7 linked regions of the Oryzias latipes genome follow. The protein of the gene in region 1 interacts with the protein of each later gene in a pairwise test. Links are inferred from orthologs where the notes say so. Each region holds a gene or a part of one and is shown in the gene's direction. Other genes may lie near its edges. The genes, in order: rabac1, snx15, nif3l1, dusp12, ric8a, pbx3 and syt16.

Evidence for each region.
Region 2: the proteins of rabac1 (region 1) and snx15 interact in binary tests that used the Homo sapiens proteins (3 or more experiments, as listed by UniProt). The two-hybrid records come from large-scale screens. The link is inferred for Oryzias latipes from reciprocal best matches to the Homo sapiens genes RABAC1 and SNX15.
Region 3: the proteins of rabac1 (region 1) and nif3l1 interact in binary tests that used the Homo sapiens proteins (3 or more experiments, as listed by UniProt). The two-hybrid records come from large-scale screens. The link is inferred for Oryzias latipes from reciprocal best matches to the Homo sapiens genes RABAC1 and NIF3L1.
Region 4: the proteins of rabac1 (region 1) and dusp12 interact in binary tests that used the Homo sapiens proteins (3 or more experiments, as listed by UniProt). The two-hybrid records come from large-scale screens. The link is inferred for Oryzias latipes from reciprocal best matches to the Homo sapiens genes RABAC1 and DUSP12.
Region 5: the proteins of rabac1 (region 1) and ric8a interact in binary tests that used the Homo sapiens proteins (3 or more experiments, as listed by UniProt). The link is inferred for Oryzias latipes from reciprocal best matches to the Homo sapiens genes RABAC1 and RIC8A.
Region 6: the proteins of rabac1 (region 1) and pbx3 interact in a two-hybrid assay, tested with the Homo sapiens proteins (2 studies listed by BioGRID). The two-hybrid records come from large-scale screens. The link is inferred for Oryzias latipes from reciprocal best matches to the Homo sapiens genes RABAC1 and PBX3.
Region 7: the proteins of rabac1 (region 1) and syt16 interact in binary tests that used the Homo sapiens proteins (3 or more experiments, as listed by UniProt). The link is inferred for Oryzias latipes from reciprocal best matches to the Homo sapiens genes RABAC1 and SYT16.

The regions. Positions count from the first base shown.
Region 1 is NC_019874.2:20,935,573-20,939,837, reverse strand, and holds the start of rabac1 (prenylated Rab acceptor protein 1), read left to right. Parts: upstream 1-1,465; 5' UTR 1,466-1,521; intron 1,522-1,735; 5' UTR 1,736-1,800; exon of another isoform or gene 1,801-1,848; intron 1,849-3,083; 5' UTR 3,084-3,097; coding exon 3,098-3,219; intron 3,220-3,597; coding exon 3,598-3,810; intron 3,811-3,985; coding exon 3,986-4,083; intron 4,084-4,238; coding exon 4,239-4,265. Other genes in the region: dedd2 (DNA-binding death effector domain-containing protein 2), read right to left, coding at 1-119. UniProt on the Homo sapiens protein: General Rab protein regulator required for vesicle formation from the Golgi complex. May control vesicle docking and fusion by mediating the action of Rab GTPases to the SNARE complexes.
Region 2 is NC_019876.2:12,564,201-12,566,477, forward strand, and holds part of snx15 (sorting nexin-15), read left to right. Parts: intron 1-631; coding exon 632-829; intron 830-2,277. UniProt on the Homo sapiens protein: May be involved in several stages of intracellular trafficking. Overexpression of SNX15 disrupts the normal trafficking of proteins from the plasma membrane to recycling endosomes or the TGN.
Region 3 is NC_019877.2:7,709,729-7,713,947, forward strand, and holds the start of nif3l1 (NIF3-like protein 1), read left to right. Parts: upstream 1-1,419; 5' UTR 1,420-1,490; coding exon of another isoform or gene 1,491-1,526; intron 1,527-2,374; 5' UTR 2,375-2,385; coding exon 2,386-2,980; intron 2,981-3,076; coding exon 3,077-3,233; intron 3,234-4,219. UniProt on the Homo sapiens protein: May function as a transcriptional corepressor through its interaction with COPS2, negatively regulating the expression of genes involved in neuronal differentiation.
Region 4 is NC_019875.2:21,143,335-21,147,491, forward strand, and holds the start of dusp12 (dual specificity protein phosphatase 12), read left to right. Parts: upstream 1-1,357; 5' UTR 1,358-1,517; intron 1,518-1,577; exon of another isoform or gene 1,578-1,635; intron 1,636-2,462; 5' UTR 2,463-2,464; coding exon 2,465-2,727; intron 2,728-2,902; coding exon 2,903-3,016; intron 3,017-3,790; coding exon 3,791-3,909; intron 3,910-3,996; coding exon 3,997-4,084; intron 4,085-4,157. UniProt on the Homo sapiens protein: Dual specificity phosphatase; can dephosphorylate both phosphotyrosine and phosphoserine or phosphothreonine residues. Can dephosphorylate glucokinase (in vitro).
Region 5 is NC_019864.2:5,139,317-5,142,816, forward strand, and holds part of ric8a (synembryn-A), read left to right. Parts: intron 1-202; coding exon 203-357; intron 358-445; coding exon 446-526; intron 527-1,707; coding exon 1,708-1,807; intron 1,808-2,916; coding exon 2,917-3,104; intron 3,105-3,500.
Region 6 is NC_019867.2:19,128,976-19,133,268, forward strand, and holds the start of pbx3 (pre-B-cell leukemia transcription factor 3), read left to right. Parts: upstream 1-1,493; 5' UTR 1,494-2,724; coding exon 2,725-2,972; intron 2,973-3,371; coding exon 3,372-3,451; intron 3,452-4,293. UniProt on the Homo sapiens protein: Transcriptional activator that binds the sequence 5'-ATCAATCAA-3'.
Region 7 is NC_019880.2:23,657,749-23,661,732, reverse strand, and holds the start of syt16 (synaptotagmin-16), read left to right. Parts: upstream 1-1,184; 5' UTR 1,185-1,357; coding exon 1,358-1,373; intron 1,374-3,984. UniProt on the Homo sapiens protein: May be involved in the trafficking and exocytosis of secretory vesicles in non-neuronal tissues. Is Ca(2+)-independent.

The DNA.
Region 1 (4,265 bases):
GCTCCGACTATTTCAAACATCTCATGAAGAGACATCATCCCATAGTAGTTAAGGCACTCTGCTTCATCCCAGTATAAGGAATTCTTCAGTGTGCATTCAGGATAATTCATTGAAGCCATGGTTTACCCCTTTTTTCCAAGTTTCCCACTCAAATAAAACTGTGGAGTTTAGGGGAAAAAGAAAACAAACACAAAAAAATTACTTTAACCATGTTTATGTTTGAAACTTGAAACCAAACAAATGGTATCAGGTTCCTTAATTAATAATTTCATTTAAAAAACGTAACAATTTGAAGGCCCCACTCCGATCATCTTTTAAAATATTTTCAAAGCGTTCCCCGTGTTGTTTTCTAGGAAGGTTTCTGCATAGCGGCAGGAGTTAATTAGAAATTAACCCCCCAGAGTCGTGGGCAGGACTGCTGGCATGGAGTTAGCCCCCCCTTACCACCATCCCTTTACACACTCGCTTACAGCCCCTCACAATCACAACTTCCACTGCACATTAGTGGTGCAACAAAAATTGTGAACAATATTGGAGCTATCCAACCGTACAGTTTTGAGCCAGATGGCAGCTCAGACGAGGAAAATGAAGCCCAAATGTGTCAGAATGAAGCATCAGAATGGAGCAGTGAGGGAGCTTGGTTGGTGTAGTAGCTTCTACGTCACACTTACACGTTTTTTTGCAACAGCTTTTTGCGTCTAATTCACATCAGTTTGCATAAAGAAATACTCAGAAATGCAATTCTAAGCTAAATTTTCATTTTCATCGGAGTGGGTATTTTAATTGTAGCTAGTAGTTGTCATGTTAAGTCTTTGTGTGTACATTGTGTGCCACAAACGAACACTCACTATTTAAGATTTTCTTCAAACTTGCAAGCAGCTACCACCTATAATGAAATGCATCGAGATGTGTTTAATTACTGTCATATATGCCTAGCTACAATTGCTAATGTTATCTTTACCGACTCGGTACCGTTCCTCTGAACAGAGTTATGTAATCAGTAGGGTGGGGGACAACACATACAAAACACACAGCTCTTCAATTGTTCGATTAAAAACACACACACAGGAGCTCGTTGGCAGTTATACTTCACGTAACACCACGCAAAATTAGCAGAAAAACAATTCTAGAGACAAATAAGACGGTCTATTGTTTGTTTCAACGACGGTCGGTGCGACGACATGATGATGAATCCCGCTGAACTTATTAGTCTAGCAGACGCTAAGGCGTCAACTAATACAGCGTAACGTTAAACACGCGCCTTTAAAACACTATTAGGTTACATTTTCCACAAAGAGAATATTCCTAGAGTGCATTAGACCTCACCTTTCAGCCGCGATAGCTTGCCTGACGCTGGATGATCTAGCAACTTCCACAATGCAACGTGCGACGTGACAGTGGCTAGACGTGAGTCGTAAATTGACCAATCACAGCTCTCGGGCTGGGTTTCATAACGTAAGGTCACGTTTTTGCCACACTTAACATACCGATTGTTCCCAGATTGTTCCTAAAAGAATCAAGGTAGTAATCTCTGTCACTTTGGCACTAAAAATGTTTTTTGATTTCTTGTCGACTTCAAAGTTAAATAGAGGAATGAATAAAATATTTTTATATGGTTAAATGTAAGGGAAAAAATAACATCATAGACTGGGGAGTTCTTTGGTGCAACCAGCAGGGGGCAGTGTGCGGCATTGGTGTTGTAGGAAGTTCTTTTCTTCTTCTTCTTCTTCTTCAGCCACATCACATCCGTGAGGACCAACAGCAACAAAACAACTTGGCTTTTTATCCATAACTTGGTCTGTAAGTATCTACATCGTCTGTAGGTTTGACATTTGACACATCACGAAGGTAAAATCTTATGTCTTTTCATTTCAATGTTTATAAATTACTGTGATCTTCGTACAATCAGTTTGATTTAACATGAGACACGAAGAAGTAGGTAGTATTCATTTTATAAAAGTTATTCCACTTATAATTCGACACATATGGACAAATTTGATCCTTAAAAGATTTTTACTTGCTCAAAATGTCGTTTTCTGGCTCAGTTCTCGGCCTTTGTCAGTGATGTGGCAGTGACCAAGCCCTGTTGACAAAAATTTTCCACTTACGAGATCCGCTCCTATGTTTCTGGCCAATCAGGAACAAGTTTGAATTAAAATCTAACCTCTATGCTCTTAAGAATAATGTGGAAACTAGTGATCATGTAGTTTTTCTTTTGTAGTTACTGCTGTTTCTCCATTTTAAACACATTTTATAAAATATATCAATTGTTATTTACCTTTAAAAAATAAAGTAAACAGGTTTTCCTTTCCTTTTTCCTTTTTTATTTATTTATTTAAGTTTGCTTTTGATGCACCTCGAGGAGTGTTACAAAAATCGTAAAGATTGTATGGTTGTATGGTGTATGGTGTTTTATTTCCCATTTAAACAGGGGAAAATAAAGAAGAATCCAGAAAAATTCTGACATGTTTTATAAAGGATACATATCGTTTGTACATTGAAAAATACGAGGAAAAATGCAAACTTCCAATAAGACAATCTTTTTTTTTCTTTTTTTTTTTTTTAAATTAACTTTAGAAGCAAAATGGAGAAACTAAACAAAACAAAATCTTTAAACCACTTGACAAACCCAATGATGTAACAACATCCCACATGCAAACTTGGCATGCACTTATCTGCATGTTAACAGTAAACAATAGGCAAAAAAGGAAAAGAAAAGGAGTCAGATCTTTCCTGAGCTTCTATCTTCCGTTCATTTGTTTACTCAGTTACCCATTGTAGTATTTGGGTATATGTCTTCAGTCATATGTATATATTTTCTATTTTATGATTTTCTATAATTATTATTAATACTTAGGCTCTTCATTAAACAACCTCAAACTCAAAAACGTTAATATTCTTTTATCCCACTTCATCTCTCGTAAAAAACATCTATCTCCATATAAAGGAAGGCCATTTTTCCACACAGTTTTTGGACTATTTATCTTGTGCTGATCCGAAGAAGGGGGAAAAAAAAGTATGTGAAGGAAAAATCTTAAGACTATTTCTTTTATTTTATTTATTCTATTTTCTTTTATTTTCAGGAGAAGGTTTGCAGATGCCATCTGGAGTACCAAAGGGAGAGAACTGTCAAGTGGACATGGACAGCAAGGCTGGAGATCTGTTTACGGCTGAAGATGCTCACCCAACTGGCACGGGTGGAGCTGGAATCCTTTCAAAGTACGAGTCAGTTTTGTTTTTTTTAAAAAGGAGTTTAGTGACCCAAACAACTTTCTTCGGTGATGGACGTGGACATTAAACAGCGTTTGTAGAAAAACCACAGCAATGGTGCTAAGGCTCTGTGAGTTACTGTCTTTACACATCCACTTTTGGGGGTGGAGTTAGTCCTAAATCCTCATCCTCCTGTTCTGTAGACTGTGCCTCATTACTTAAAATTTTTTTTTTTTTAAAGTTTTGTTTTGTCAAAGTTTCTAAGAATTTCCTTAATCAAACTACAAAATACTTTTTTGTTTTGCTCATATTGTCAAAAGTTGTAATGCATTGACTTTTTCCTTGAGAGTTTGTACGCTTTATTACCATTTTACCTTTATTTTGTAGGCTCTGGCTCCCTAAAGGCTTCTCTGCCAGCATGGCCAAGGAGTGGATTGATAGGCGCCGATTGTCCATTCGACCGTGGGCCAGTTTTGTGGACCAACGCAAGTTTTCAAAACCACGAAACTTCGGAGATGCATGCCAGAGAGTGGTGAAAAATGTGGAAACTTACAACAGCAACTACACCTTCATCTTCCTGGGTCTCATCCTGTACTGCATGTAGGTGTAAACCTGAGTTTGCTTTGGCCTTACCTCAAAACATTATTGAAGTTTTATGAAATAACAGATGCAACACTGACTGCACACACTAAGGCCACCGGGATTGAGAAAAGAAAAAGAAAAGATTGAATCAGTAACAGCATTATGAGCCTTTTTTTTTTTCTTTTCTTGTCAGTATAAGCTCCCCTATGCTACTGATTGCATTGGCTGTGTTTCTTGGTGCCTTCTACATAATCCACCTGAAGTCTCAAGAGTCCAGACTGGTTGTTCTTGGTAAGTAAAACAGAAAAACTGCTGTCCTTAACTTGCCTGAAAGTGAAAAAACTTTTTTTCAGAGTTTTTTTCAGCCATGCATGAAATGGGAGAATCTTATAGAAAGCCACAGAGAATTATGTTTTCATGTGTTTGCCAACTTTGTTTTTTTCCAGGCAAACAGCTTAATGTCCCTCATCAGA
Region 2 (2,277 bases), on another chromosome or scaffold:
TATGGAGATTTAACCAACAGAGATGCTGCCATTAAAAAACAACAACATGCAGCTCTGACCGGGGTGGCAGAGGCAGAGGGGGAAAATAAAGCCGGGGAAATGGGGACGGGTATCACTTATGGGTCATACAACACGGCTCGCTGCTTTAATTCAAAACTAATAGTCTTATTAATATGATTTTTTAGATCAGTGTTTTAATTTTATTCAAGAAGTTTTACAAAGAAAAATAACCTATTTGTTAATTTGAGGTCCCATACAGTTTTTTTAATCAGAACTGCAATATTTCACATCCCTGTGCCTTTAATTTACAAATTGGATTCAAACATTGGCTGCATGGTGGCGTAGTGGATAGCCCTCTCGCCCCTGGTTTAAGTTTGCAAGCTCTCTACATGTGCAGGTTTTTTCCGGGCACTTCTGCTTCTTCCCACAGACCAAAAACATGCTTTATAGGTCATTTGGTGAATTGAAATCGTCTCTAGGTGTGCATGTGTGCATTGTCCCGGCTACCAACAGTAACCAGGACAGGCTCCAGCAACCCCATGATCCCAAAAGGGCTATAGCGGGTTAAGATGATGGAGGGATTTTACATTTTGAATAAGCACTTGAAGGAATCCCTTCTTTTCTATTCCAGAAGCAACGGGCTTCTCCTCCGATCACTCAGAGCTGCTCTCCCTGCTCCCCTCCAGTCTGAATGGGGGGGACGTGGGATACCTGAACCAAGCAGCCAAGGAGCTGAAGGCCGCCATGGAGAGGGAGAAGGAGGGAGAGTTCAGCTCTGCCATTCGGGGTTACAGGACGGCTGTGGATATCCTGATCACTGGAGTGCAAGGTATGGTGAAATATTTATGGATTGTGCATACAGTATCCCAAAGCTTTTATTTAATCTTTTTAAATATATTTTACTTTTAATTTACAGATATTATATACAAAAACATAAAAAATAAATTGGGAAGCTAACAAAGCAACATTTCCTAGTTCCATCATTTTATCTTGCAAGGTTTATGATGCACATTAGGACTCAAGAGTCATGTGATGAAGCTAAGGACCCATGTTTCTGTTGTTTTTAACATGTTCTTGGAGCATTTTTCTATTATAGATATTAGGAGAATTAAGCTTAAAACAGCATCTCTGAGTATTTCTTTATTCAAATTGTTGTAAATCAGGAGCAGACAAAAAATGCAGTTTGAAAAAGATTGAAGTTTTGGCGTAAAAAACATGCACTGAGCGGTGCCACAAGCTGCCTGCTCTGCTCCATTCTGATTCATCCAATAGACGACTGGATCCATGGAATGTGGGGTTAGGGGTTTGAGGGGCTGGAAGCCAGCGAAAGAGTATGTAAACAGAGAGCTCTCAGCAGCAGGGAGGGGAAGGGGGTGGGGGTTTCTCTGCACCAACTGTCCCGCTATCAACTTAGAGGCGAATTTTAACGAAGTTCTGCCGCTCTGCAGAAACTGTCCAAAGAAAACGACAAGTTTTAGGACACACAACTTTAGGCCAAAGAATAAAAATGTGGTATTTTTGAATTAAATCAACAGAGTTTAGATTATTTGTATTGAAGGATACTTAAGTAAATTTAGTTAGATAACCTTCCTGTTACTGTGCTGTAAATTTCCGCTGTATCCAAATTTGACATGCAGGAGCTGCTTATCTGAAATGATCCATAGGCTATTTTTGTTCCTCAATGCAACTGTTTCCTCTGTGGAAGTAACATGGCGTAAAGGTATTGCTATGGTCCAGTTAGGATTGTTTGTGGATTTGCTCCAGAGCAGCTGCACAAATGCATTTGCTGCTGTTATTGTTTCCACATGGGGGAGCATGTTTCAGCGGACTGGCATCCACAGAATGAAGTGTCCCCACGCAGGATCCGGTCAGCGGACGAGTCCGTCGGGTCTGTGGCAGAAAGGCTTCAGGCTCCCTGTCTGAGGGGGACGGTTACACAAACGCAGAGGACAGGCACTAGTGGATCCATCCTATGACACATTCTTATTAGCTTGCAGCCACTCTTCCCCTTTCCTTACTCTAAAGTTAAGATTTGAGTATCAAGCAAAATGCATATGGAGTAACATCTCTTTGATCATCTTTATTTGACATTTGTAAAGCTCTTTAGAAAATAGATCAAATCAGGTGCAATAATTGATTGAGCTAAAGAAAAGTGGTGGAATAATGTAGGATTCTGGATCTATTCAATGCTTAATGATCTAAACAAATGTGTATTTGTGAGTTGTAGCACTACATGATTAGCAGGTGACCCTATTGAGAGGGTTGTGAGTAAAATCA
Region 3 (4,219 bases), on another chromosome or scaffold:
AAAAAAAGCCAATATGCTAAACCAAACAACTGAGAACAAAGCAATGTATACGGTAACTCCAAATAACAGCATACTTTTTTGTTTCAAGTGTTTTTTAAGTCTTTGTTTCTGTTCCAAAAACTCAACACCTCAGATTTTTCAATGCTTTTACTGTCCTGACAATGTAAATTGTGTGATTGCTGGAAGAGCAGGACCTTGTTATTCTGATAGATGTCATGCACGGACAGAAAGATGAGGCCAAAGGAAGACTCAGATGATGTAATACACTCTGGCTGGCCTTTGCGCTGATCCTTCCCTGATCCCCCTTCCTAACATCTAGCATCGACCTTTAATGCATTAATCCCCAATATCTCTCTCTTGGTCACTCTCTGACTTAATCCAAAAGAAGCCATTCTGTCCAGAAGCTTGCTGTCGTGCCAAAAATGCATGTTTAACCCCTTCACGACCACCAGCTGCAGACAGATTTCATCTGCGTGTTACTATGTGGTCGGTAATCTTTCTGAGAAAAGGCAAGTGGATCCCTGGGTATCTTCTGGACCACCTGCCCACTCGAATTAATACAGCTTATCAGAGTCATCTAGCCTTTTCCTGTTGACAGTAATCAGTAATTTTGTTTCATAACATTACATTTGAGCTCTATTATGCAACACCAAAAGGATTTATTAGGATGGCTGATTAAACGCACCTTTTAAAGCTAATGCCCTCTTGGTTTCCATTTAACGTCTCTGACATATTGTCAGTAGCTGTTTGTTCAAATAAGCTTTCATTTTTAGAATGCAATGTCCACAGTCAGAGAATTTCAGTCTAAAGAGAATTAAACTGTTTTTATCACTAATAAAGAACTACTCACTGACAGAGTAAGGCAGCTTCTGCACTTTTAGCCTACTGACCAATAGTTTCAACGTTGTGCTTACAGCTCTGTAAATATTTGCAGGTCAAAAAGGTTTTTTTTGGTAACGTATTTGTGAACAAATTTTTTGAACATAAGGACAGGAAAATTAATAAATGCTTAAAGAACTTTATTTTTCCTGTGAAAGGAGCATAGCTTAAAAATGTGGTTAAAAGAATTCAACTTGTTTGGAAAAATTCCAGAAATGATTTTCTGCATGACATTAAAGGAACTATGCTAAAACTGAGGTAACCTTATAAGAGTCAGTTGCCACAAAATTAACCAAAGATTTCACCATATTTATAATCAAATCTTTTAAAAGCGACTTTTCCTTCCGAGAACTTTTTCAAAATTAGACAATGAATCTTAACTAATATCCTAAACAAAATAAATGCTCAAAATTTAAAGTTAAATAAAATAAAATAAAATGTCATAATGTTGGCATTATAATGTATCTTTAAAACATTGTATCGTAATATAATGTGACAGAAGCCACGCCTATTTATTTATGTCCCGTTTTTTGTCGATATACACAACGGAAGCTCGAAAGGGACATTTATAGGGTTGTGCAGAAAGTTCTGACTGACAGTCGCAGAGGTTCATGCTAGCTCACAAAGTTTCTGATATCTTCCTGAACGTATGACAAGATCGTTACATTTGCCAATGCTCTGAAACGGCTTTTACCTCATCATAGCAACACTGAATTTTGATAAAATGGGTGATTTTCTATCAACATTTACAAGACACTAGTAGCGCAGCTAATCTGCTAGCTTAGCTAGGGGTAGGTAGTTGTGCTTAGCCGCATGTGTGTCACTCATTGTTGTGCTTGTGTTGGTCATATAAAAATCGTGTGCAGGTAGTAGATCTTTTTATTTAAACATACGTGTGTGTATATTATGTTTCTATCAAAATCATTAATTATTATTTGATGGATTAGATGGATTAGAATAATTATCCAAATTTGCTTTTACTTAAATTCAGCAAAATTGGTGGATCAGACCTAGTTTTATAATCTTCCACGACTTTACGTGGTGAAGTAGTCCAAAATCTCCAATGAAATATCTTAAAAAATTAATATTGTGGTCAGGAAAAAAAACTGGAAATAAAGTCACATTAAGTTTTTCTTCAGAGGGTAAATATGGCCTTTAAAAAAGTCTTATATGCAGACTTAAATTTTTGGAGCAAAGTATATATGCATAAAAACGAATGAAAGTTTGCTCGGCTCGACCGAGCAAAAAAAGCTGTTGCTTTTAGGAATAAATAAGTATATTACAGCCTCTTCTTTGAAGGCATTTAAGGGCTATTATAGGTGATATTATAATAACTAAATACATGAAACCTGAAGATATTTGAGAAAAATGTATTTAAAGTTAGCAGTGATTGTTCGTTTTTGTAATTGGGGAACTTGAATTTTAATGATATGTTTTCGAAAGGGAAAAAATAGCACCCAGTGCCCACTTTTGTGTTCTTTTTTGTTTTATGCAGATGGTCCACTCATGTTGACTGGATGCAGGAATCTCTTTCTGATCTTTGCATCACTTGTACATAGAAGAACTTGGATGTGTAAAAGGTTCAAGCCTAAAAGTGAACTCCACTTCTCTGCCTCAGCAGCATCATTTTCTCTTCCCTCTGTCTCCTCGTCTCCTCAACAGCGAATCATCAACAGCTCATCCTTTCTGCATCCTCCTTTCTCCTCCGCCTTCCAGCCTCCTCACTGCTCCCACTTTACTGGCCCCATGGAGTTAAAGGAAACTTTGCAGGTTCTGGAGCAGCTCGCTCCTCTGTCTCTTGCTGAGTCATGGGATAACGTCGGCTTGCTGGTCGAGCCTAGCAAACCTCGGCCGGTCAAAACCATCCTGCTGACCAACGACCTCACAGATGCAGTCATGGCGGAAGCAGAGGCTTTGAGCTGTGACCTCATTATTTCCTATCACCCGCCGTTGTTCCGTCCTGTTAAGCGACTGAACCAGAAAGATTGGAAGCAGCGATTGGCCATCCGGGCGGTAGAGGCTGGGATTGCGGTCTTCTCCCCTCACACTTCATGGGACAGTGTTAAAGGAGGGGTAAATGACTGGCTGGTTGCAGGCCTTGGTAAGGAGCTCTTCTGGCAGGAAATTGCATTAGGCTTGCTGTGGCTGCATGTGAACCTGTAATCTGCTTTTTTCTGGGTTGTTCTTTGAATTTCAGGCAGCGGCCAAGTGTCTGTGCTGAGTCAGGCTCTTGGTAACGCCTCCCACTGTCATAAACTCGAGTTCACAGTGAGAAGCACAGAGGAACTAAACACAGTGATGAAGGAGCTTAAGGCCTGTGATGGAGGAACATCCTTAATCTCTACAGGAACCAGGTTGTTTGAGATTTTTGGGGAATATATTCAGAAATGTACGACGGAGTATTAGGGCCACAAAAAAAAAAAAATTAGAGCCACCAAAAAAAAAAAAAAAGTAAAATTACGAGATTTTATCTCGTAAATTTAGGAGATAAAAACTCGTAAATTTACGACTTTTTATCTCATAAATTTACGACTTAAAATCTCATAAATTTACGAGAAAAAAGTCGTAGATTAAGGAAAAAACACCGAAGTTGTCCGTTTATCGGAACCTAGCTTGAAGATGAAGTATGTGGAGCCTTTTGTGAAGCTTCATTTCCGGATTATTATAGGTTTAAAACAAAGAGATTCTGAACCTTTTGGCGACTCAAAATCAGATTAGTTTCCGTGTAGTAGTCTTTCCGGGGTTCAGTGTCAGTAAAGCGGAGTTTCATAGGTAAAATAAGGAGCTCAGAGACACGTTTGGGTGTAGAGGACCGCTGCAGCCTTTATTTTCCTTTCCATTCACATATCCTGAAGTTCATTTGTCTCATTACGTCATGAACCTGTCATCCCAACACCAATGCGGAAGTAAACAGTCTTACAAACGCCCCCTCCTGCAGATGAAATGTCCCGTTTCAGCATAAAACAATAAAGAGGAATGAAAATAGTGTTTTATATTAGCTTTGGAACGTTGAAAATGCCAAAAAAAAAAAGTGCTCCTCCTTTTGTGTGACGGAAGCGTCACACAGACGTAGAGTCTTGTCTTTGGTGGAGGAAGAAAGGATTCAAGCGAACAGCTGCAGGGACACCGACAACGGCTTCGTCGGGCTGCAGAGATCCTGCAAACCAACCATCAATAAATACAACTTTAATGAATCGTTAATCGAACAAATGACTTTCCAGACATTTGGAACGTTATCAATAAACATACAGCTCACCTGTTCAACAAAGTTTAGTCGGTCTTCTCTGCGGCTGCACGGCGTTCACCTGCTGCTCTGCATGTTCACTTCCACTGTAATCTC
Region 4 (4,157 bases), on another chromosome or scaffold:
TCTTTTATCCATCTATCCATCTTCAGGGTCACGGGGTTGCTACTGCCAACTCAGCAACTATTGTGTACACCCAGAACAGCTTGCTAGTCTGTTGGAGGGCCACACACTCACACACTCAGATGCAAACCTAGGGACCTTGGGGAAATTTAGAGTCACCAAATAATCTTTTAAAGCAGGATTTTTGGCTGTGGGAAGAAGACAGAGTGCCATAAGAAAACATGGAAACTCCACAAAGAAAGGTCCCAGCCAGGATTCAAACTAGGGCCTTCTCTCTGGGAAATATTATTTTCTCTTCTTTTATTGTTATCGTATTTTAATAATTGCAATAAAAATTGTAATTTAAAACAAAAACTAACACCAGCAACCATTTGGTCAATGACTGAATGTTTTTGGATCAGTAACATCCAGGTGCACATTAGGGGTCAATCTGCTCTCCTTAATACCTGCTCAGACCCATCCCAAATCATTCCATACATGATAACCTTTCACTCATAAAAAAAGCCCCATCACAACACATTATTTCACACATTATTTCACTGTGGTAATCAAGTCAAGTCTGACTGACACAAATACAACAATAGGCTTTATTGAATCTACATTCTCAGTATATGCTGTCAATTGGAATCCTAAAAACTATTGCTTTTAATACACGCTTAACAAAATATAATATGGTTGGAAAACTCTGTTTTTTTTATGTAAATGTCTGCAGGACATCAGTGTGTGTAAAAAATGTTATTGATTTCTTAAAATAGGCCCAAATTTTATAGAGTTCTTCAGATTTTACATTACTACAGAACAAAAAATTTCTTCCCAGTAGAAAATCTATGTTTGCCATATGAGCAAAATGTGTGTGTTTAGTTGTGTGAGTCTGCTTCAATGATGAGTTAAACTATTTGAAAAAAAACACCTTAAATGGGAAAAGCTCTGTCTCTGAATCTCTTTTCGTGTTGGTTACATATTTATGACAAAATTCTGCTACAAAAAAGTTGAAAACAGAAATAGAAAAGGCAAAATTAAGTTTTAAGACTCAGATTGATGCTAGGCAAACTTTATTAAACAGTTCCCTGATCACTTAAAACTTTTCTGATCAGAGAGAGCTGTTTTTTTGGGCTCACGAAAGCTTCAGACATGACCCCTTATTAAGTTGTTGCTGCATGCATTATATGAATCTTTGGGTTTGGGAAATTACATGGTTATTATAAATAAAAATTTGTAAAAAATTAGAGCAAGAGGAGTAGGTCATGACATTATTTTTGTTTTAGTAAAAATATCAAACCTTCCAGCAGAACACAAAAAACACGTGTTGGTGCGATCATCATCAGCGGAACTATAAAATGATGTCGTGTTTCCTCCCTACAGCTTTAAGAGACGAACAAAAACACCAGTCCCGTTGGTGCTCACGCCTTTAGGGTCCGTCTTAAAGTTAGTTTTTGTGTGTTTTGCACGTTTGATGCTTTGAGGTTTGAAGCAGCCAAAATTTGCAGGAAGGAAAGAAACGACATACTCAAGTAAATGAGGTTAGTTAACGAGTTTAGTTAACGGAGTTAGTTAACTGCGAGGCTGGCTGTCACAGCACCACGGTGTTATGTGCACGCGTGTTTAGCAGCAGGGCGTTGCTGTTTGGTAAGAAATCAGGTAATTGTCTTGGTATGTGACCCGAGAAGGCTGGGTTACATTAAGCCTAAATTAAAGATGAAGATGGAAGCTCGGTGATGCCATTTAAATCCGTATTGCTCTGTGGTCAGAGAACCAGTCACACATTTGAGTGTTACACTGTAGTTTTTATAATTATCACAACAAAATGTGATACTTGTAAAAATTAAAGGAAAAGTAAAAATTGGAAAGACATTTAACGTGGAAGATGCTGCGTTTTTTTTAAAAGTTGAAATAGTGAACATAAGGAGGGAGGGAGGGAGGGGGGGATGAACATATAAAAATCTTCAAATAAACATATTTTAGTGACGTCACACCCCCTTATTTAAGTAATTAAAAGAAGAAGAATAAGCATATTTGCCATAAAATGTGTTATGACTTTATTAACATACACACTAATTCCATAATACAGTTCACAGACAGCAGTAAGTAGTAAGACGTTCAATCCTCTTCACTCACTCTGTATCCTTAGATTTTTTAATTATTTATAGTGAGGAATGTTTTTGTTTCATAGAGACGTTTTACAAATACTTTTATTACTATATGTAAGCAAAGAAAACAAAATATCATGTTTTTTCACTTTGCTTTTCATTTAAACAAATGAGATGCTTTGTGAAAGGCCAGAAAGTTCTGTGTAGCTAAAATGATTCTACCTGGAAATGAATGGGCCAGTTTCAATATCTCAATAATTCCGCAGATCAAACTGATCAGATGGTCTGCTCCACAACTCTTCCTGTGCTCAGTAATATTGAGGACTTTTCTTCATTTTTCTCTTTACTTTCCTTTAATCCCTGTGTGTTTTTCTGAAGTCATGCTGCTCGTAGATCCAGGAGTGTACATCGGCACTGCAGCTGACCTGAACGACTGCCAGGCGCTCGCTGCAGCTTCGGTCACCCACATCCTGTCTGTGGAATCTGTGGATCCTGGTCCACAGATTCCTGCCACAGGAAACTTCATCAGAAAGTGGATCAATGCTTTAGATGAAGAGACGACTGATCTGCTCAGTTACTTGGACGCCTGCAACATATTCATTGATGAGGCTGTAAAAGGGGGCGGAGCTACACTGGTTCACTGGTAAGAGTCAAATATGGCTTCATTATTCCTTTCTGTGTTTTCCACGCATTCCATCCTTGAATTTATGCAACCATGTGCAATCTGAATCCATTTTGGTGCATGATGACACGACATATAAAAGCACAAAATGCAGAAGGACAACGCTTATTTAAAAACTATTTTTTGTGCACATTAGTCATGCAGGTCGAAGCCGCAGCGCCACCATTGTGACTGCATATTTAATGAAGAAACACCATCTGGCCTTCCCTGAAGCTTACCAAAGACTGAAAAGTGTCAAACAAGATGTTCAGTAAGTATTTGTCATTCCCTTCTCTCCCAGTATGTCTTCTGTTTGTGTTAAGGGTATTTCAAAATTGGCTAGGTCAGTTTGTCAGCATTGTAGGTAAGCAATTGGCTGTGAAAAAAAAGTTTTTCATGTTTCTGTCAATATATTTTTGGAAATTACAGTTAAAAAAAATTCTAAAAGTGCTTCTAGTGGGCTGCTCATTAATAAAAATATTAATTAAACCTATATCAAATGTGGGGGTTCATAAACTCAGCTTTTTTTTTGCTATTAAAGAAAGCTTAACTTCTGTTGAATACATCTTCTGTCACTTTATCACAACAAATGTCAGCAAAAAAAAAGAAAAAGATTTTAGAAGGAGCATGTAGAGAGGAAATCTTTGTCCCATCTGTCTCTTGATTGGCTATGACATATTTTCCTTTGTGGCTGATTTGCCTCCAACATCTACTTTTCAGAAAACTGAAGACTTGAACTGCATTTTCACCAGAAGTGAACATTGAAAAAAGACTGAAGCTTTTATTTAGAAACATAACAGACGTTGAAAGTCAATGTACATGAAAAAAATCAGTTGTTATAAACCTGATAAAGGAATATAGAAGTAAAGCAGGGTAAAAGATTTTATGGGGACTATTTCCATGATTTTTTTTTATCATTTCAGAAAAACAAGTTTAAAAAAATCTTAATAAGTGCATTGTCATGTATACACCAGCAAAAGGTAAAACTGTATTTAAAACAAGAGCTTAAAAGATAACATTTGTTTTTTTTTTGGGTGTGTTTCAGGGTCAACAGGGGTTTTGAAGAGCAGCTGCAGCTGTATGAGTCCATGCTATGTCAGGTGGACACATCTAGTGCTTTGTACAAACAATACAGGCTGAACAAGATTGCAGAGAGATATCCAGGTGAAAGCAAAGCTTTGCTGCTGTGGATGAACACCAGGAGGGAATTCCTTTCCCAACTTTTGTTTCTTATTATTTGTGTATAAGCAGAGTTGCAGCAAGTCCCAAGAGATATTTTTGCTAATGACCCCGCCCACTCCAGCTCCTCCGAGGTGTCATACAGATGCCGGAAGTGCAGGTGAATTGCTTAGAAATATTAGATATGGTAATTAGTGGCTAAATTTTCTTTAGCATAAAAATCTTATTTTTTT
Region 5 (3,500 bases), on another chromosome or scaffold:
GGCTGCTTTTTCTTTTCTTACTAGCACTGAGCTGCCGCTCCCCCTTAAATTTGCCCGTATGGCCCGTGCCTGAAGCCGCCACTAAACCCTCTGACTCCCTTGCATGCCAGGGAGGGTGATCGTATATTCCTCTGCATGAATGTTTCTGGCTGTTTCACAACTATTTAGATTTGGAGTCATTTTTCATCTGTTTTCTTTCTAGTAGAGGATAAAGGGGGAGATGAGGAAGGGGAAGCAGATACGCTCAGAGCTGCAGAGAAGGAAGCCTCTCCTCCTGCAGAGAACCCTGATCTGGAGGTGATTGTCGAGGCTCTCAAGTCCATCTGTAACATCCTGCTTCACAACGAGACTGGACAGGTGAGCCTGTCGTCAGCTCTGCAGCTCACAGCCAGCGTTTGGTTAGAGCTGAAGTGTTGATCTGATGACTGTCTGCTGTTGATGACAGGCGGTGGCGGCAGAACTGCAGCTCATGAAAGGTGTGGCAGAGAGACTGAAACACTGTCGTGATCCCACGTGGAGCTTTGAGGTATGAACCTCCTTCACACTTATTTTAATGTTAAAGTCAAACACTTTTACCAAACCATCTAAACATGAAAAGAGCATACAAATGTAGCTTCAGTGATTGTCTGTCTTGACTTCTTCTCTGAAAGCCTCCAAACAAATCCGTTCCATTTTAACAGAACACTTTCATGAGATAAAAAAAAACAAATCAGTTGATTATATTTGCTCTTTTTTCTCCCTTTAGAAACTGTCTTTGAGCAAAAACACTAAACATCGTATTTGTCTGTGCAAGGACACTTTCAGTTTAAGAAAATCCTAAAACTCTGGTAAGATTTTGTCTTTACTACAGACTGCTGTCTGGTAAGATGTACTGGCTAGAAGCAATGTGTTTGTCTTTTTGTGTTACACAAAATGTGAGTCATTTACTTCTGAATGACTCGTGGATTGATGCAAAGAGAAACAGACCTCTCCTGAAAAAAGCAGCAGAACTACAATGGATGAAGAAAACATCAGTGAAACTTTGAAAGTTCTTTGGAGAGCGGTCTCTCAGCCCAGAAACCGAGTGACGTTCAAACGTTTTGCACCGAGGGCCAGATTTGGTGAGGTGAAAATGAGTGATGGTCAACCTTTTGGCCTAACATTCTTCGAACTATTTTAATAGCATTAAATGCAAATGAACTACTTAATGAACATATGTTCATAATTCACATACAATACAAATATATCTAAATCCATTTTTACATTCCTTATTTGTCACACCATTCGTTTCCAGTTAGCTTGTCGCTGATGGCATCTCAGGTAGCTCTTCTTGATATTGAAAACAGCCATAGTCTCTTGGCATATTTGACAGACGCAGTTGTTTCATATTTCACTAAAAAAAAAAGCCCATGTCTTGGACTTATCCTGGTGGCGGTGGTTCTCACTGTCAACTTTTCCTTTCATTTAAAGTTGACATTTTAGAGGTGAGCTTGAAAGAGTCACAGAAGGACAGTGTTGCCATGGTTTTACATGTAGTTAGGCCAATCACAATCAGGAAATCCCCCACAGTTTGTAGAAAATGATGGGGGCTGCATATTACTGTTTTGATGACAGGAGCCATCCGGCCGGTGGAAATTTGAACGCTGATGCATTTGGTCCATATGTTGCAGGCTAAAATAGTTCTGGTCATGTTTTGTCCTCAGACTTGCTGTTGTGCTTGTTTTCCAGGTGCGTTTCTTTGACTTGCGCCTTTGCTTCCTGCTGACCGCGCTCAGGGTGGACGTGAGGGCACAGCTGGCTCAGGAGCTTCACGGCATCAGTCTTTTGGGTAACGTGTGAAGTGTTTACTCTGCTGAGTTCTGAGCCTGTCTCTCAACATCGTCCTGCAGCTTCTGGAAATGTTACAGAGTGACAGAACTTACAGAGTCAAAGCACAGAAGAAGAGGAGGAGGAATGGATGTGATGTCAGAAAGCACCGCAGATGCTTGAGGAGCTGCAGACAACTCAGAGAGGGGGGGGGGTTACAACTCTTCACAATAGTCAGAAAAACTGCCTGTATAAATGCATTCAAGCAAAAAGCTGCTATACATTATCAAACTTGGCAGAAATGGGGGCGTAGCCTCTGACTGACAGGTGATTGTGCAGATGTCTGCTCAAGAAACATATGATTGGGCTTGTTCCCACAGCCAACAATCCAGCAACTCCTGCATGGCAGCTTATGTTGCTGTTTCAGCAGTTTGGTGCAGTTAGAGGGAACTGTTTTTGGAGTTGACTTTGGCCGGTGTGGGGTCTGTGGCTCCTCAGAGAGAGAGCAGCTGAACGTCTAATGACATCTTACTTAGTTCATTCATTTTCCATTCCCTTTTGGGGTCACAGGGCTGCTGGAGCCTATCCCGCCCACTTGTAGGCGAAGGCAGGGGATGCCCTGGACAGGTCGCCAGTCTGTCGCAGGGTGGAATGGCCACACTCACACTCACGGGGAGAACATGTCCCCCAGCTGGGACTTAAGGCAGGGCCCTTCTTGCTGTGAGGCAAGATTTTCAAATCAAAGCTAAAAACTCATCTTTTCCAAATGGCCTATTAACTTTAACATTAACCTTTTCATGTTTTTATATATTTTTTATTTAATTTTGTATTTATTTAAATTGTTGTTGTTGTTTTAAGTGTTTATTGTATTTTATACTGTATACATGCTGTGCGGCGACCTTGAGTGCCCAGAAAGGCGCCTTATAAATAAAATGTATTATTATTATTATTATTATTATTAAGAGCACTAACCACTGCACCACTGCGCCACCATGCAGTCTATCTTACTCAGTGAGATGGATTTTATCTACGCTGGAACTGGACTTCTACTGCCGATGAGGATAAATAGAGAAGCTTTTAATAGAAGATGGAAATGTGCTGAGAAAAAGATGCCTTGTTTTTTTTTACCAGGTAACCAGCTGGATGCTGCACTGGGTCTATGTTGGCCTGATCCTCTGGAGACAGCCAGGGTGGGGCTGGTAGGGGTCCCTCTCGAGGAGATGCCTCCTCTGAGCAGACAGCAGACAGAGCTAGCCATGGAGATACTGAAAATCCTCTTCAACGTCACATTTGACACAAACAGACGCAAAGTGGATGAGGTAACCACAGTAATGCCACATCAAGGCCAGTTTATCTTCTCAACATCTGAAAACCACAGCTGCAGCTTGACTATAGGTCAGCATTTCTACCTGACAAGCTTCTTCTTCTGCACGGCTGCACACAGTGCAACAGGCTGAAGATGAACCTCTGATCGGAAGATTGATATGTTGAAGTGTCCTTGGGCAAGGGACACCACCTTGCCTTTGGTGGTTGGCGCCAGTGTTTGGCAGGAGAGCCACCATCAGTGTGAATGTGACTGTAAAGTGCATTGGACCTTCAAAGAAGGTAGAAAAGCGCTATATAAGTATAGTAGGGGGGTGTATTGGCAAGAGTCTGGTGATACGATACCGATCCCAATATTGTACCGGAACACGTTTTTCTCTTTTTTTGTAAGA
Region 6 (4,293 bases), on another chromosome or scaffold:
AGAAGCAAGCAGATGCTAGTTATATTAATTTGAATTGGAGTTTGATTTGGGTATAAACAGAGATGTAGGATTGTTGTTAAAAAAATATTTTTAATGAATACAATCTGGAGTAAACTGATGCTATATTCAATGATTTTCCTGGTATATTTAACCTAATATTTTTGTAAAAATTAAATAAATTGTTGCATACTCAGACATTGAAATATTTTTATTTATCTCTCTGAACATTTAAAGTAAAAAATATATATAAAAATGTTAAAATTTGAATAAACTAAGTTTTGGGAGATAAAGGTTGTGCAGTGAGGTGTTAAAATCCCATTCATTTTTTTGTTTTTTTTTTCCTGCAGTTTTGAGCTTGAGTGTAGGTATTTTACTTTTTTCACATTTCCACAAATAAAGAACAAATTCTCTCTGAACTCTAATTACCTCTGTTCATCGCTGAGTAACTTCAAAAAGTCACAAATGATCAGAATTCACATTTTAAAACTGGGTGAGGTGTAGACAGTCCAGTTTGACTTTTATAAAATGCACTTTTCTTTGCGAGAAATAATGCATGATTGTAGGTGTTTTTCTTCTGTTTCTGTTTGCAAAGATATTAATATGAAAATAAGTCTAGGAATAGAAAACCACGAAGTTTACTGTGATGCTTCATTTAAAGAGGAATCACTCCACAACACTTTCACTGGCGAGACATATGTAGTAGTGTTTTTCTTTTCTTTTCTTTTTTGTTATATTCCCATCTAAATTAAAAATAAAAGTAAAATAGAATTAGTCTATGTAAGGACCAAAGAAGAATTGGAATTAAAAGGGTGTTTTAATGTTTTTTTTAATTATTTTTTGTGTTTTTTTTTGTTTGTTTTTTTAAGATATATTTTTGTCTGAATTAAACATAAATTAAAATAGTATTCACTTGTTTAAGGACCAATGCAGAATTGTTATTTAGAAGGCTTTTACTTTTACTTTATTTATTTATTTGTTTGTTTTATTTGTATTTTTATTTCGAAGATTCCTGTCTAAATTAAACATTAACTAAAATAGTATTAGTTTCTGTAAGGACCAAACCAGTAAATTATAATTTAGAGCTGTAAAAAGCCTCAGAGTACTATCAAATAACCCTAAAAAAGTCCACACCTCATTTTTTCCATCTTACTACTTAATTCTTTTCGTGAATCCGTGCTAAACTCTCACTGTAGAGGAGCATTTTTGTTGCCTTGTATCCAGCTCAACAACTTGTCTGCTGCCATAGCAACTGCGGAGGAGCACCCAGCGCGAGCGCCGCCCGCTTCGTTCAGTCGACGTCACGCGTAGCAACGGCCAATCACAAGTTCCCATGTTTTAGCAAGACTGACACACGAAGTGGGAGGGCGTTTGGCAGCTTGTATCCTCCGCCAATTGGACAGAGGGCCCGTCACTCTCTGCTGTTCTCGCCTTTGATTGGCCAGTGAGCTTTACTTCCAATAATATAAACATGTCTGCCGCTCGCATGGCTTGAACCGAGGCTTGAAGAGCGACTATGCCACATCAAACTGTATAAAACTCCCATGAATTTGCCTGCGGTGTGGGGGCTAAATCTTTATTATTGTTGGAGATAATGCACATAGCTGCACGTGCACGCGTCACGGAAACGAGGACACCCCGCCGCCGCTGCAAGAAAGACAGAGGGGACTCTGCCGTTCTTCTATCATTCTAATCACCATCCTAAGTACTAGCTCCTAACATTTTGTGTTTTGGGGCTCAGGCGAGAAGTGACAACAACATAGACCCCTCCTCTGCAGGGCGGAGCGTGCATTTTCATTTCGTATTTTGTCTTTTTTTTCCCCTACCATTGTAGCCTGCTCTGACACGTCTGCACTGAGTGAGTGGCATTGGCACACTGTCAATCGCTCACTACCGCTGCCATCAAACACATAAAACACACAGGCAGAGGCTGCAGCTCATAAATTTCAGCAGGGCAAGATATTTTTTGCGCATCGTCTTAATACACAATCCTAATTAATTTCTTGTCGTTGTTGCTGCTTTATTTCCTTAACCAGAAATCTTCCAACTTTTTTTGGTTAAGATTTCATATTTTTATAGGAACATTTGGACACCTTTGTGCTACAGATTGTTTTTTTTATTTTTTATTTTTATTTTTTTTTACATTTGACAATTGTCGCTGGAAACATTCCGCGCATTTTGCTGGCAACACCTGCCGAGATTTCTTTGGTCTGTTTCCACATTTGGATATTTTTTTGTTGTTGTTCAGCAGGAGGATATTTTTAAATTTTTATTTTAATTTTTTTTTGGCATCTTCAAGAGGAAATGTGCCGGGAATCTGGTGAAGAGCGCTAAATAAATGAGAGGTCACTAAGGAGCGTTTCTGTCAACACCGCCGGTCAAATCAGAGCAAGAGGTGGAAAAAGAAAAAGACTGCTGCGAGGACTGGATATGATGGACCGTCAATTTTGACAAAGAAGTTTTCGGAAGAAGAAAGATTCATGTGTTTTCTCCCAAATAGAGCTGCGCGTTTTGGCACTTTGGACCGCGCGTAAAGCAGCGAGACGACGCCGACAACTTGGACACATTTTTACGCCTCAGAAAAACAAACAAAAACAAAAACATCCCCCATTTAGTAGTGAGACCGACAAATAAGCCAAAAAGGGGGACATCTGTGCTTTTATTTTGGCCGGACAATCAGTCGTCCATCCTTTCTGCTTGCGGCATATGCTATAGCCGATTTCGTATATGAGTTTTTCAATTTGTGTGGCTCAGTGCACAGACTCTTTAGCGGCTACTATGGACGATCAAGCCCGGATCATGCAGTCGATCGGCGGTGTTAGTCTGGCCGGCCACTCGGTGCAAGGAGGCATGGCACTGCCGCCTCCACATGGACACGATGGGACAGACGGAGACGGACGGAAGCAGGACATCGGTGACATTCTGCATCAAATAATGACCATAACTGATCAAAGTCTGGACGAGGCGCAAGCAAAGTTGGTTGATTTCTATGATTTATTCCATTGACTGTCCACAAAAATAGTCCCCAGCTGCAACAATGTAATCATGTGGCCCGGTTTACTTTGACTGCAATGTGCGTAACAATAGGCTGAAGTGGCTGGAAAGATGTGGAGGTGTAGCTTGTTGATGGCAAAATTGGCACAGAAAAATAAAATCCAAAGTGGCTGCGTTTTAAGTTGCAGAAACTTTGAGTTCACTTGTTTTAAAAATGCATTTACATCTGCAAATAGTTTCAAACCCCCTATATTTTTTTGACAGAAAAGATCATCTGAAGTTAAAAAAAATCATTTTTGAAGTCATCAGTGCTTGTTTTCTTTCTTACATGTCGCTTATCAGTGAACTTATTTCAGTATTTTATTTTTTGTCTTATACTGAAACAGGAAACATGGACTGAACTGTCACAGAATGAAACCAGCACTCTTCAGCGTTCTCTGTGAAATCAAAGAAAAGACAGGTAAGACCAAAAACACATGCAGAAGTTAAAAGAAAAAAAAAAACCAACAACTAGTAGAACATGCATTTTATTGCATCTCCCAGTAATCTAATGACATCCTTCATCCAAGTTACACAGAATTTCCGCCCAAATGAATCCATCATCTTCTGGTTTAAAAAAAACCCAAAACCAAAACAAAGCAAACCAAACTAGCAAAAAACAAAAACATGCCATTGTGCCGTGAGGAAAGGCCACTGCTTGCACAGTACAGCAGGTAGATTGTGTTTCCCCTGAAGACGCTTTTGTTCCTGCTAAAGTCTTGTTATCCAGCACTGGTTGCTTGGATTTAAACAGAAAGCACGCTCCTTCATTCAGCCTCATCACGCTGGCACAGAATAGGATGGGGAAATCCCGCAGCATATGCTCTACACAACTAAAGATCACACAGAATTCATGCTTTCTAACATGACAATTGCTATGCATTTTAAGGAGACTATATAGGCACATAATCTGTTATGGAAACGGGGACATGAACAACAGTGTGGATAAATGCAAATTAAAGAACAGAAACAAATATTGATTGATGGAAATTTGAGTTTTTAAAAATTATGGAAAAAAATTGCTGCTGGCGTATTTGCTTTATGAATGGCAAGTAAATTACAGTTCACATTTTACTGACTTATTTTAAGAAAAAAACGGTCCTTTATTTAAATGAATACCACTGTATTTACAATATTAAAGTGTTAATGATGTAGAAAAACTGTAGACAGTTATGAATAAAGCTACAATAAAATGATCATACAAATTTGCACAGACTTCATCAAATACCTGATATTTATGTGAAACAAGAAAACCTATAAGCA
Region 7 (3,984 bases), on another chromosome or scaffold:
TAATAATAATTTGCAATTGCACGTCCTTACTCTCTCCTAAACAGCATAAATTTAGTCTTTTTTAGATTCAATGATAATTTGTTCCTATTGAACCAATATTTTAACTTGTAAAATTCCTGAGTTATTTCACTTAAAAGTTTCTCTTAAGTTCTGCCCTGAACATAAAACATTGGTATCATCTGCAAAAAGTATGAATTTCATCATTTTTGATCATTTGCAAATATCATTAATATAAAGTAAAAACAGAGTTGGTCCAAAAATTGAACCTTGAGGTACACCGCAGATGATATTCCTATTTTTAGATTTCTTATTACCAATCTGTACAAACTGCTGTCTATCCTCCAGGTAGCTCTTTAACCAGTTTTGTGTTAATCCTCTGATTCCATACTTTACCAATTTATTCAGTGAAATATGATGGTCAATCGTATCAAAGGCTTTCTGCAGGTCTAAAAAAATTCCAAGGGAATTTATTTTTTTCAATACAGTTAGTAATCTCTTCCAGGGGGCCGGTTTAGCTCGTGCTGGTTTGCGGCGCCTTCCGTCTGTGAAACCAGGGTTTGACTCCGGGCTGCTCCCTGTTCCCTTCTTTACCTCTGTGCCGGTCCCAAGCCCGGTTGCTTTGAGAGGGTTGTGTCAGGAAGGGCATCCGGCGTAAAACATTGCCAAGTTTACCATGTGACTTGTTCGCTGTGGCGACCCCTGATGGGAAAAGCCGAAAGAGAAACAACAACATTAGTAATCTCTTCCACAAGTTCGATTATGGCAAGGGATGTAGATCTTCCTTGTCGGAAGTCATATTGACTGTTGAATAGCAAATTGTTTTTATGTATAAAGTTAAGTAATCTTGAATTATATAGTTTATCTAATATTTTTGAAAGCTGAGGCAATAAAGAAATTGGACGGTAACTTGTAAAACTTTGCTTATCCCCTGTCTTAAATAAAGGAATTACTTTGGTAGTTTTCATTTTGGTGGGAAACTGTCCACATTTCAATGACAAATTGAAAATGTAGCGCGCAGGTCTCTTGATAAATGTGATCTTTTTACAGGGTTTTCAGGGGTATGCGGTTCGGAGGCAGCTGGCGCCAGATTCCGTTAATCGTTAAGACATTTTACGTGACCCCCCCTCCCCCCCCCCCTCTAAAGAGGCTGCTCCACATCACTTCTGTTTGCTGTGATCGGAATCTGACGACGTGCAGCGGAGCGTTCAGGATCACTGTGAAGTGCAAAGTTCCCACAGTCCGTGAAGGCACCGTGAGGCTGCAGATCTGCCGCTCCGCTGGATGAGAAGCGGCGGGGACGCTGCTGCCTGATGTCCGCCGTGGAAGCTCCGTCCGCCCGGAGGAAACGCCCGCAGCCATGGCCTCCTCGGACAGTAAGTGGCTGTTGGAACGGGTTCTTCTCTTTTCATTTAGCCCGGAACGGCACGCAGGCCATTTTAATATTAGATTGTTTTTTCCTCGCGCGCTGGCGTAACGTCTTCGGTTAACGTCGGTGCTTCCGGGGAGTCGTGGTTTGCAGCATCTTCATCCTCTGAGCTGCAGCAGCTTCGTCAGGAGGAAGAGGAGCAGACAGCTCCGCAGGTTCCTCACGCACCTGCTGCGTGGCTGCACCCCCCACCCCCACACTGTGGTCTGTTGGTGGTAGCCCCCCCCCCCCCCCCCCCCCCCCCCAACAGAAGTCCATGGATGCAGTGAGAACCTCAGAGCATCCATGCTGCTGTGTGTCCTCCTGCAGAGCTTCCTGTTGTAGCCCTGGAGGACAAAGTCTCACAGCAGCTTCAGAAATTTATAGAAAAAATCCTATTTTTTTGCAGATTTTTGGATAAAATTTCTTCCAGAATGGACTGCACGGTGGTGTAGCGGTCAGCCCTTTCACCTCACAGTGAAAAGAGCTTGATTCAAATCCCAGCTGGGATCTCTCCGTGTGGAGCATGTGTGGGTTTTCTCCGGCTTCCTTCTACAGTCCAAACACGTGCTTATGGTTATTATGTGTCTCTAAAATGTCCCTATAGGTGAGCATATGTGTGTGTGGTCCTGCAACAGACCGGTGAGCTGTTAGGGTACACCCGCCTTGATTCAAATGTAGCTGGGATAGGCTCCAGCAACTCCCTGAAAGGGATTCAGCGGGTTCTGAAGATGGATGGATGGAGCGGCAGATTTAGCAGTTTGGGGGCGAACAACAACATGGGGCCCCTCTGAAAAATAAAATCCTTCCTGTCGGGTGAAACATCGAATCCTTACTGGTTCACTTTCAGACAACATCAATGTCAAGTGTCCAAATGTTTTGATAAGAATTTAAAAACTGAAATCATGTTGAAATGTAAAAGAAAAAAAGGATTTTATGATCTATACATTATTTTTACTTTGGAAAAATGAAATGTATTAAATGCATTAATTTGTTAATCTCTCATTTTCTAGAAGGAATGAACGACAGATTTCTGTCTTTTCTTTATTTGTCAGCACTTAAAAAAAGAACTATAGTTCATTTTTACTAAAGTGCATTTTGTTATTTTTATTTAACTCTTTATTTTTCACCTATTTTTAAAACACTTGCATAAATATTACTTAATAAATTTAATATTTATATTACAACAATCACTTAATGTAATTTTCTGCAACCGCTTGATACAAGGCTTTGAAGTAAATCCACAGAATTCCTTTTGAGTGAAGTTTTACTAAAGAGTTTTGTTTTAATTTGGTTTTGTTTTTCCTATTTTATCCGTCTTTCAGCACTTTTGGAAGTTTGGCAACAAAAGTCTTGTTTACTTTTTGCCTTTTCCTCTTTTCATAGCTGCCTGGATCACTCTGCTTCATTTGACCACTTTTTAAAAATAATTTTGATTCATCATTTAATCCCTAAAAGAGAGGACATGGAATATTAGCTTACATAATAAAAGGCTTCCCATTATTAGCATATGCTGAGTAAACTAAAGGAACAATCAACCCGTCTCACTCAGGTTTGCGTCATCTCTCGTGCAGCAGAACTCGCAGCCTGTCATCTTCTAGGACGTAGTTTCTGCAGAGCAGCTGGAGGAGAAATTCATCTCTGAGTTGTGGAAGCAAACCCATCCCCCCTTTATCCTCTCTGTTCCTGAGAGCTCTCTGTTTACAATATCTCCCCCAGGCTCACAGCCCCTGTTTAGATCAGGATCAGGTATTCAGCTGTCCAGTTTAGATCCAGATCTCCCCTCAAACGAGGAAAACAAAGACAATCGTTGATCTATTTGTCTGCAGGTGGATGCATCAGAATGGAGCAGAGCAGGGAACTGGTGGCCTGCCGTAGTAACTTCTACATCACACTTACAGGCCTTTTCCAACTGTATTTTTTCGTGTGCTCCTGATTTACAATGATTTGGATATAGAAATACTCAAAAATACAATTTGAAGCTTTATTTTTTCCCCATAAGAACATGCTAAAAACACCAAAACAGCACTTTTCTTGGAGTGGGTCTTCAACATCCCTGAGCAGAAAGACAAAGCAGGATGCGGACTCCCCCATACCCACAAAAAATATATTTTTTTAAAGAAGATTCTCTACCTTAACTTTATTTTACAGAGGAGATTTATTGTTCCTTCTGTGGATAATTTCCCTCTTCTCTCTCCTTTTGTGGCATTAATGTTGCATCATAAATGTCACGTGTGTGCAGGTTGCGCTGCAGCTTAGCAGAAATGAGCTAAATAAAGGATAGTTTTGTATCAGAAGGTTGTGTAACCTTGTCTCCTCAGTCCGCTTGTGGTTCCAGTAGGGTTGATGATAGACACCCAAGAGAACTGTGGGAAAAACCACCACATTTCACAGAGGATGTTCAGGTGCGTCTCAGGAGAGTTTCAGTCCAGAACTTCCGGGTCTCTTCAAGGTTTGGAGAGTCCAGAACCTCAGAATCTTCTTTTTCTGTTTTCTCTAATGGTTTGGAAGAAACCTCACATTTCACAGATGTTTTCAAATCAACGTCATGGTTTACCCGCTTTTTTTCCCTGCCGGTT